2 linked regions of the Schizosaccharomyces pombe genome follow. The protein of the gene in region 1 binds, or shares a complex with, the protein of each later gene. Each region holds a gene or a part of one and is shown in the gene's direction. Other genes may lie near its edges.

Region 1 (6,555 bases):
CTTTTTCTCAGTTTACCAAATATTTAGAACGTAATTATTAAAATATCGGAAGTATGCCTTCTTCTGCTAGTGAACAACTTCTTCGAAAACAACTAAAGGTAAGCGCACGAAATCTTCATATCCAAATATTCATGATTGTACATAGTATCTTAATTCTTGAACACATACTGATAGATATAGGAAATTCAAAAAAATCCTCCACAGGGTTTTAGCGTTGGTTTAGTCGATGATAAATCCATTTTTGAATGGGAAGTTATGATCATTGGACCAGAAGATACATTATATGAAGGTGGTTTTTTCCATGCAACATTATCGTTTCCTCAAGTATGTATTTATGTTTCACAGAAAAATAATATTTGTTGTATAAGGTAAACAAGCTGGTCACTAACCTCGAAAAATTAGGATTATCCTCTGATGCCTCCAAAGATGAAGGTATAGTAAATACATTGATTTTTTAATTGATAGAAACTACATAGTCTATGCCTAAAAACGATTCTAACGGTAACAGTTCACAACGGAAATTTGGCACCCTAATGTTCATCCGAATGGCGAAGTTTGCATATCGATTCTTCACCCACCAGGAGATGACAAGTATGGATACGAGGATGCTGGAGAACGTTGGCTTCCGGTACACTCTCCGGAAACCATATTGATTAGTGTAATTTCCATGCTTTCTTCCCCTAATGATGAGTCCCCTGCCAATATAGATGCTGCCAAGGAATTTCGAGAAAATCGTGAGTATATACTAACCTACAAACAAAAAAATTTACTCTTTAATAATCAAATCGTACTAACTTTTTCCAGCACAAGAATTTAAGAAAAGAGTTCGTCGACTTGTTCGCAGGTCAATTGAAATGATTTGAAGATAATGTTCAACCTAGGTCCCTAATTTCCTATATTTAGAAAAAAGGCTATGAAGGAAATTCAAGTCGCTGCATAGAAAACCTCCTAAGTCAACTAGCAGTAAAGCTTACTCAAAAAGTCTGTAGCTTTACAAGTTGAATTGCATATTTTATGCCATCTTTGAAGTATTGCCGTTGCCCATTTTTTGAATAAGTTTAGCAAACTGTTCATTTATTATCACATATAATGAAATATTGGCAGAACGGTTGACATTTTAAAACTAACAGCTTTTGATTCTTTTCTGTTTTTATTATAAAGCTTTCAAGTTTTTCAAGTGTTACAACCGCAAGTGATTTATCCTACTTCTTTACCAATTACAGCCATAATTTAGATAAACAACAAATAAAAATCTACATTTCACGATTGAATTTTTTTCTTTGAACAAACGTCAGCTAATACTTCGTGAATTGATAGTTTTCCATTGAAAATTTTCTATTCAAGTAATTATTTTCGCTTATACGCTCATACTTTATCAGCGACGGTTTCAATTCCGCGTTTTGCACAACATACATTGAATGCAGCGATAAATCTCAGTCTATTATATTTTACACTAACTAGCTCAATGTCTCCTACGTATCCGAATGACTGATTCAATGATTAATCAAACCAATTAAAGAATCTAGCGAAACTTCGTTGAGTTTGAAAATTAAATACTCAGAGTAACCATTTAAGATGAATATTAAAATTGCATTAAGAACCGTGAAAGCATTGCCTTTTCATTTAGCGTTTTTTTATTGCATTATGCTTAAACTTTTCAGAATGACAATTAATATTACGCTATTCCGCAGTATGGTGGTGTTCACACTGGTTCAAATGCGTATATGGAACGTAGACAGCTATTAGGTCAAATCAGATATTAATAGCTTTTATCATTGTCATTTCTCCCTTAACTATTTGCAAGTCGAAAAAAATCCAATTTTAGCTCATGCACAGCGTTCTGCAGTAAACATGCCTCTGGCATTCACAAATCCCGGTACACCTCTAAAACGTACAGCTGCCTACGACAATGTACAATGGAACCAAAATCGAATATTAGTAAGTGAATGGACGCAAACGATATGCGTTTGTCTGCTAGTGGTTAAACTGCAGAACGAAAGCAGCATGTCAAAGTATTGTTTCCAATTGAAGTAATTGTTTAACTAAATGGTAGACATTTGGAACTCGCTATACCGTATTAATTATTGTAAATAACTACGAATCTTATCAAAATATACAATTTGGAGAGTCTATTGGTGCAGTGGCTTTGGACCAACGTACGGGGTTTCTAGCAATAGCACATGGACAAGTTTTGGATATTTATAAGCCCGCCGATTCTTTGAAATGGACTCATCATTACAATTATATAACTCAGCTTTCTGAAGATATTACTCAACTATCTTGGGGATACAATTTTGATCTGTTGCTTTGTGCTTCGTCATACACTAAACTTATAAATTTCTCTGAAGACAAACCCAGGTTGGTTTGGTCGCAGAACAGAATCTCGGATTCATTCCTTAGTAGCACTATTTCTTCCGATGCTTGTTTTATAGCTTCTATCGAAACAAAAAATCCACTTGCTAAAGTTTGGCAGCGAACATCTCCTCAAGGTACAGTTAGCTCATGTGATGATTTCAGCTATCTTGTTCATCCTTGTCGCGTAAGGTTTTCCCAATGGTCTAAACACCTTCATCCGGACGCCAGTGGATCGACTCCCTTCCTGAGTACGGTAGGCTATGATAACGTTCTAAGAATTTGGCAAGTTGGTAGCCGATTTGGTTCTCAATTAATGCATCTTTCTTGTTTTCTTAACTTGAGAAAATACTACAAATCTGATCAACCACCATACTGCTGTTTTATTGATAAGGACGATTTTACTATAGCATTAGCACATGCTATAAGTCGCCATTCTGGTCAAGTGCATAAGGATCGCATTTTAAATAGGCTTCTGGCTTTGGCCAGTGGACAACCACATATATTTTTGCTATTTACTTTTGAATGTTTGTACATATTTTCTCTAGTAATTGACCAGGAAACTTTGTCATCTTTTGAGCTTATTAATCAAGTTCCAACGAACTTTCCCAAAGGCGCTCTTCAACCTGACGGATTTATACCTATTTACAGGACCTCAAAACACGAATTTTACGATTATAACATCATTTTATTTTTTCAAAATTCCGCCCGTGAATACATGTTTAGTCTTACCGATTTCTTTTATAGTGACTTTGAGTTAAGAGTTAGTTACGATTTTTATGGACATGATTATCCCATAAAAAGCTTAACAAGAACCTCTAATGGTCATGGAATTGTATCCCGAGATGTTAATCGTATCTGTATGTTTCAATCATACATATCGCAAGACGGGAAAAATCAGTTAATTTGCAGGTTCAGATTATTACTTGGAGAATCTGACTTTATATTACCTCTTTATGCTGGTGAATATGCAGCAGTACTCAACTTAAATTCTTTAAAATTATGGCATTGCAATGAAGCAATTCCTCCAACCCTTCTCTGTACATGTCGTCAAGTCCCTACTAGTCCGATAATAACCTTCTTTATTCTTCCTGTTCAAAACAACGATAATTCCGCCCTATGTGCTTTGACGGAAGGAGGCCATGCCTGGTTTTGGAGTGTCTCTAACGAAGCTCATGATGGTTCTGCTGTACTTCGGTTTATAGATCGGGTAAATTTTACAAAGAATTTAAATATCGCATCGGCTGTAGATGTCATGGGTTGGTCTTCTACTTTAAATTTGAGCAGTTTATCTTCATTTGATCAAGAGGTATTTCAATCAATATCAAAAGACGGTTTATTACAGACTTGGATGGCAAGAGTATTGGGAGACGATAAAGCGGAAATATCGGAAATTTCCAAAGTGCAAACTAGCATCAAATCTGCAACTATGATCAAAGGCTCAACATCCAAGAAAGTTGCTGTTGTATCTGAGAACAATCGTCGACTTTCAATTTTCGACACGCGTAGTTCAGAATTCTCTGAAAAGGAAGAATTTTCCTCTGTTTTTGATGATTATGGACCAATAAATGACTTGGATTGGACTTCTACTCCCAATTCCCATTCTATCTTGGCTGTTGGCTTTCTACATGATGTTATTCTTTTGTGCCAAAATCGCCGATCTTATATGAACGATATTCCATGTTGGTCTCGTATTCGTAGATACAATCTTTTAGAATATACAAATTCATTAATATCTGACTCTTCTTGGTTGGATAATGGGACTTTAGTTACTGCCATTGGTAACGGACTTTTTTATTTTGATAATTCACTTCCCGAAGATCAGTCTTTACTGTTCCCTGCATCATTGAAACGTTCCGCAAAAAATATTTTTGATCTTGCATACCAGCTTAATGGAATTTTACCAGTTTTTCATCCTCAATTGTTGCAGCAGCTTTTACTTAGAAACCAACCCTTTCTATTTACTAATATTTTGCTAAGGTTTTACTTGTGTTTGAAAGATGATGTAGATATGCATTTTCTCTTAAATATGGACTGCAGTGAGTTTTACTGCTGTGACGAAGAAATTTCTAAAGACCTTTTAATAAAAAGTCTCAGCCAAAATTCTGCGGAAATTCTAAATCCTGCGGAATTGGATTTTGAAGAGACCAGTGTCTCAAAGCATTTAGGATTATACATTGATGAAATGATAAAGAAGTTGACTGCATTATTAAAAGTAAAGAAAGTCAAAACCCTCACTCGATCATCTCAGTTTTTACTTCTTAATTTAATCGAGGCATTCAATAAGGCAAGAGCATTGCGAGATTCATTGGACCTCAACGGAAAAAGATATTGCATTATGCTAAACCAGTACGTTTTATCAAAACATCAACGTCAATTAACAAGCTTGCCCACCCGAGAGATGGCGTGGGCTTTTCATAGCTCTAACAAAGCTGTTCTGTTGGACCACACTAAAAAGCTTCATGGAAAACCATTGTTATGGAATGCTGTTGAAGAATATGCGATACCGTTTTGGCTAAATGAGCAGCTACTGAAAGATGTATTTTTAGAGCTGTCTCGCAATCATTACGCTGAGATTGACGATAGGAACCCAGAGAATGTTAGTTTATATCACATTGCTCTACACAAAATAAATGTATTTCGTGATCTTTGGCGTCTTGCTAGTTGGCATAAGGAATCAGCTCGAACGGTTAAGTTGCTTTCGAATGACTTTTCAAAAAAGAAGTGGAAAGTGGTTGCATCCAAGAATGCTTTTGCACTTTTAAGCAAGCACAGATATTTTTATGCTTCTGCATTTTTTCTTTTGGCAGATAGTTGCTATGATGCCGCAAAAGTATGTATCCGTAATTTAAAAAGCATTTCATTAGCCATCGCAATGACTCGAGTCTATGAAGGCGACGATGGTCCGACCTTAAAGAGGCTAATAAACGAGTATGTACTTCCTTTGGCTGTATCTCAAAACGATAGATGGCTCACCAATTGGAGTTTCACTATTTTAAAACAGGAAAAAAAGGCCTTGCAAAGTTTGGTATCTCCCATTCGCTCGCTGGTCAGCGATAATGACTTTATACAACTTTATACATCCGATAAAAACGACCAAGAAATTCACGAAAATAAAGATTCACAACGAAATAGTACTAACGAACCCGTACGAAATAAGTTTCCGTCTGATGATCCTGCCTTCATTTTGTTATATGAATGTTTAAGATCCAGCAACGTGCAAATTGATGAAAGTCTTGAATATCGATTTGTTTTGCATAATGCTAATGTGTATTGCCAATTAGGATGTGACCTAATAGCACTTGGGCTTTTGCGTAATTGGAAATTCCAAAAAAATCCTGCAACTGCTCATCTTGAAACTGAGGATTATATGGTAACTGACAAGCAGTCTGCAGTGGAAAAAACTCACGACTCCCCCAAACTTGGAAAAACTCTTATGGGACAAGATATCCGGCCAACACCGGACGATGTCCCCGAATTTAATGAATCTGCGTTCAGCTTCGAGTAATTAATTAATTATCGATACGAGTTTTTAAAAATACTACAAAAAATCAAATACGGTCAACCCTTAGTTTATCGTGTTTCAATAATGATATTAAAAATTAATTTACTATTAAATAGCATATAAGAATACAGATGAAGTTCCTCAGCGTTTCATTTACACAATTGCGCAGGACGTAAAGAGAGAATTAAAAATTTCTATACATTTCGAAAATAAAAACGTCCGCGGTATAACTCGAAAAAAGAAAACAAAAATATAAATAGATAGTGCAGCTCACGGAAACAAAAAATTAGACTTGCATATCGTTTGTTACATTCCACAACACTCAAGGTTAAATTTTGTTTCGAAAGGCAAAGTAAATGAGGGAAGGATTACAATGGGATAGACGACCAAAAGATTCCAAATCACACCATCAGATGGCAACCACAATTTGGTAAAGTTGCTTATGAGCGTTCACCGCGAAGACGACGAGCCAATTGCATATCCTTGGGTTGAATAGTTACACGCTTTCCGTGAATAGCACACAAGTTAGTGTCTTCAAATAGAGAGACAAGATAGGCCTCAACAGCTTCTTGGAGAGCACCAATGGCAGAAGACTGGAAACGCAAGTCAGTCTTGAAATCTTGGGCGATTTCACGGACCAAGCGTTGGAAAGGTAGCTTACGAATCAAAAGTTCAGTAGACTTTTGATAACGACGAAT
Region 2 (3,946 bases), 1.7 Mb from region 1:
CACATGGCAACTAGATGTATTTCCTGTCGGCCTTTGACTAGCGGTAGCGCTCGACGAATCACCGGATTCCTGCGTCTTTCTCGAATGCCAAATCACTTTCGTAGTGGAATATGCGAGACCCCGGAGGATGATGACAAGGAGCTTTTATACGAGGTAACGGAAGCAGGTGCTAAGGTATATTCCAAAGGGCAGGTGACGCTGCAACTCTAAATTCCTACTTCATCTACTTTTTCTCAATTATCTGCTGCTGCAGTCTCTTCGTCTCCCTTCTTTTCCACTTGTACATTATCTTGCACCCACCGTTTTACTAAAAATGTTCGTTGAGGCCTGGATTCATCTCCTTCTTCATTATCCTCATCATCTTCATTAGAATATGTATCTACAACAACAGGAACCCATTCTCTGCTCCAATGCACTGCTGTTTTTTCATTTTGTTGAGGTTCCACACTTTCTGAAGTCCTATTCATTGTATATTTGTAGAGTTGCGAGTATCACAAGGTGCGCGCGAATTGGTATAGGTGTAGGTTTACAAGGAAGAACAAGACGCTCTCTGCACAGTGTGCATTGATTTGTGAATTTGGAATTAACGAACTAGGTTTGGTTATTTTTTTATTTAAAATAGTGCTTTTTTAATTTAAAAAAAATTGATCGAGCCAGTTTGGTATTCATTGAAGGTTGTAGGGTAAATCGTTGTCATACAAATTTTTTATCGCATTTTTTGGAATAACTACTGGGTTGGGTAATATTTTGAAACATCTTTCATACATATAGAAGACCGTGCTACGAAATTGTTAGGAGATATGAGTGGTATATCAAAATTAAGTGATTTTTGGGTTGAAAAATATAAAAAGGAGTCGAAAAAGTCTTGGGATAAGTTTTACAAGCGAAATGAAACAAGGTTTTTCAAAGATAGACACTGGCTTGATCGTGAATTCGATTGTTATTTTGGATTGCCCGATAAGTTGCCATTGACTATCCTTGAAGTCGGATGCGGTGTTGGAAACCTCGTCTATCCTCTGCTAGAAGTGCAACCAAATTTGAAGATATACTGCTGTGATTTTAGTCCTCGTGCTATAGATTTTGTGAAGGTAAGGAGAGCTACTAAATTTATGCCAATTTGCTCTGAAATATTTAATTTACTAACCTTTGTCTTAATTTAGAAGCATTCCTGTTATAACGAAAATAGAGTTTTTCCTTTTGTTAATGATATAACCGAAGATTCTTTGCTTGAAGTTTTGGGTTCTGCTTGCATTGATACATTAACTGCCATCTTTGTATTATCTGCCATTCCACGCGAGAAGCAGCTTCGTTCTATTAAGAACTTGGCTTCAGTCATAAAGCCAGGAGGGCATTTGGTGTTTCGTGATTACTGTGATGGCGATTTTGCTCAAGAGAAATTCATGACAAGCGGTGACCCATCTATGATTGATGAACAGACGTTCGTTAGACAGGATGGAACTTTATCACTTTTTTTTCGAGAAGAAGATATTGCTGAATGGATGAAAAGCGCCGGGTTTGGCTTAGTAACATTAGATCGAGTTAATCGCACCGTTGACAACCGAAAGCGTAACTTAAATATGAAGCGTACGTTTTTACAAGGAGTTTGGAAAAAGCTGTGAATACTTTGGTAGAAAAAGTTTCTTTGTTTGCGTATTTTTTATTCTTTTATATAGGGCTTTTAATGTAATCCGTTTTAGACATGAGTCCTGAGTTTTATTGTAAGGTTTATGACAGTAACTTTAGTTTTTTGATAATTTAATTAATAAAAATAGAAAATCTTTGTTTTCTTAAACTACACTCGCATATGCTATTTAATTGTTATCAACGAGTGACTAGTATAACTTTACTTACTACCCACCTTCAGCGTTAGCTGCTTTTAAATATTTTTGTTTCAACTTTTTTGGAATGATATAACACCATATCTACTTTATAAATCCCGTTTGTAAACTATTTTATTATGCAAACGGAAATTGATGCTTCTGTTATCGTTAAAGAAAAAGAGTGGTTGGAGACTAATGTGCTACCGGAATTTTGGGAATCTATGTCGGAAGGGTTAAAGGAAGCATTGAATTTAATTTCTTCCGATGATCCAACTGTCCTAGTTTTCACGTCTCCGAAAACCGACGCCGTCAAAGGGATTGTTTCAAGAAGCAGCAGTAACGTAGTTCGTGTCAATGTCACAGCGAAGGTTGGTCGTACTACGCATGTTTTAAAGCTGAAAGATTCTGCTATTATTCATTTGGACCAAATACTCAACTTGAGTAATTATATGCATTACGCTTTATATTGCTTGCCCCGATTGCGACATAATACAGAACGTGCCATAAAGGAATTGCAGGAAATTTTGCATGCGATTGTATGTCTACTTCATTCCATCATGCAAGAGGAATCTGAAAAAGAGGAGATCCCATCCAATGCCAGCAGTATATCGCTAAAAAGTCAAAATTCCATTGTCTCCAGAACAAGCAACCCTTTTAGTTGCCTTAACCATTCTCCTCGTCAAATACACAAGACCGTTCGTAATCATTTATTTTCACCTCCTCTTCCTTCTAATTTAGCTCTGAGCTTCAGCATTTCAAATGCTTCAGTCTGCCTGCATTTATTTAGGCTTTCAGGTCCCAATGAAGTTTTAGAGTCTTTTGCAAAAAATTCCGTAGATATAGAAATGCTTAAACCTTTTGTTTCTCAAAGAATAGATGCTTTTTCTCAGGATCCAATTCTTCTGGCAGTAACGGCAAAACTTTCAGCGTTACAAAAAAAGGTTAACGACGTTTCATATAGGTTTAAAACCATTTCTTCTTCTTTATATGGTGCCAAATAAATTGAATTTTTCAGTGGCAGTACTGATTTGCTCTCTGTTCAATTGCCTAAGCAGTTATAAATGGTTTGATATTGGGAATCTCCCTGGTTTTATGTTTTGAAACTATGTTCAGTTTTTCGCTTGATTGCATGATTAACTTTGTATTCTATGAATTTCATCTACATATTTGGCTTTTTCTCTTGGATCTCATTCGTTTAACCTTACTGCATTCTACTTACTTCATATCCGCATGCCACATACGAATCAATATGTCAAGTTTATTGAAGTTAACATCCATTTCTTTGAGATTTATCTTTGTGTATATATTATCCATTACTTACGATATATGTGTTTTCTGTCCTAATTTTCCGACCTATATATGATGCATTTAAAAGAAACAACTGTACATGAACTATAGTAGTGGAGAGCGAGAAAAGCTATTCCCATTATTGTAGCTTATAGCTTTGCTTTTCATCAACGGAGAAGTTATTAACAACTTCTTTTAAGCCTATCTGATTAAATATTCGATTGAAGATTTTCTTTCTCTTTGCTTCAATTTGCAATTCATTTTGTCCATGTAGTTTAGGAATAAAATAATGACACTTCTAATTTATGCATGATACACTATAAGCATGAATTTACCAAGAATCGTGAAAGTATTTCACAATGTATTATAAAACGAGAGAATTACTATCTTAAAATGGGTGAAACCGAAAAGTAGGTTACTATGCTGCATTAATCGTTAATTTAAAGTGCTTTTATGTACATTAACTTCTTATGCTTTTCAAGCAATTATAATATTACTATACGAAGATATAATATTATTTGTATTGTATTAAAGCGACAGAAGATGCACAAGATTTCCATAAGAGAATAATTCTAGTATGAATTATATTCTCACACACGCCTTGGTGGCTTGAACGTTGTGTCTTTCAATATCACTCCACCTTTAAACATTTGATTTTTGTGGTATATTTTGATCGCAACGGTTAAAAAGGACAATTTCGCTCTCGACATTCAATTTCCTTCTACTACCGTCTTTCGACATCCGCCCATTTGATACGTTTCAACTTTCACCCTGAATGGTATGTCTGCCGTAATTACATTGACTCCATTAAATGAATCATTTCAAACGAAGAAATTGGT

The links. The genes of interacting proteins can lie anywhere in the genome.
Region 2: rav1 (region 1) and rav2 share a complex: the UniProt entries of both Schizosaccharomyces pombe proteins name them as parts of the RAVE complex.

The regions. Positions count from the first base shown.
Region 1 is NC_003423.3:3,522,822-3,529,376, forward strand, and holds rav1 (RAVE complex subunit Rav1), read left to right. Parts: upstream 1-1,714; 5' UTR 1,715-1,851; coding exon 1,852-1,938; exon of another isoform or gene 1,939-2,053; coding exon 2,054-5,860; 3' UTR 5,861-6,024; downstream 6,025-6,555. Other genes in the region: ubiquitin-conjugating enzyme Ubc15, read left to right, coding at 54-98, 181-324, 403-432, 509-734, 805-863; hht3 (histone H3 h3.3), read right to left, coding at 6,298-6,555. UniProt on the Schizosaccharomyces pombe protein: Component of the RAVE complex which is required for stable assembly of the vacuolar ATPase complex V-ATPase.
Region 2 is NC_003423.3:1,861,041-1,864,986, reverse strand, and holds rav2 (RAVE complex subunit Rav2), read left to right. Parts: upstream 1-1,839; 5' UTR 1,840-1,957; coding exon 1,958-2,821; 3' UTR 2,822-3,446; downstream 3,447-3,946. Other genes in the region: elongator complex subunit Elp6, read left to right, coding at 1-210; protein tam8, read right to left, coding at 234-467; trm141 (actin binding methyltransferase), read left to right, coding at 801-1,088, 1,161-1,619; csc1 (FHA domain-containing protein), read left to right, coding at 3,888-3,946. UniProt on the Schizosaccharomyces pombe protein: Component of the RAVE complex which is required for stable assembly of the vacuolar ATPase complex V-ATPase.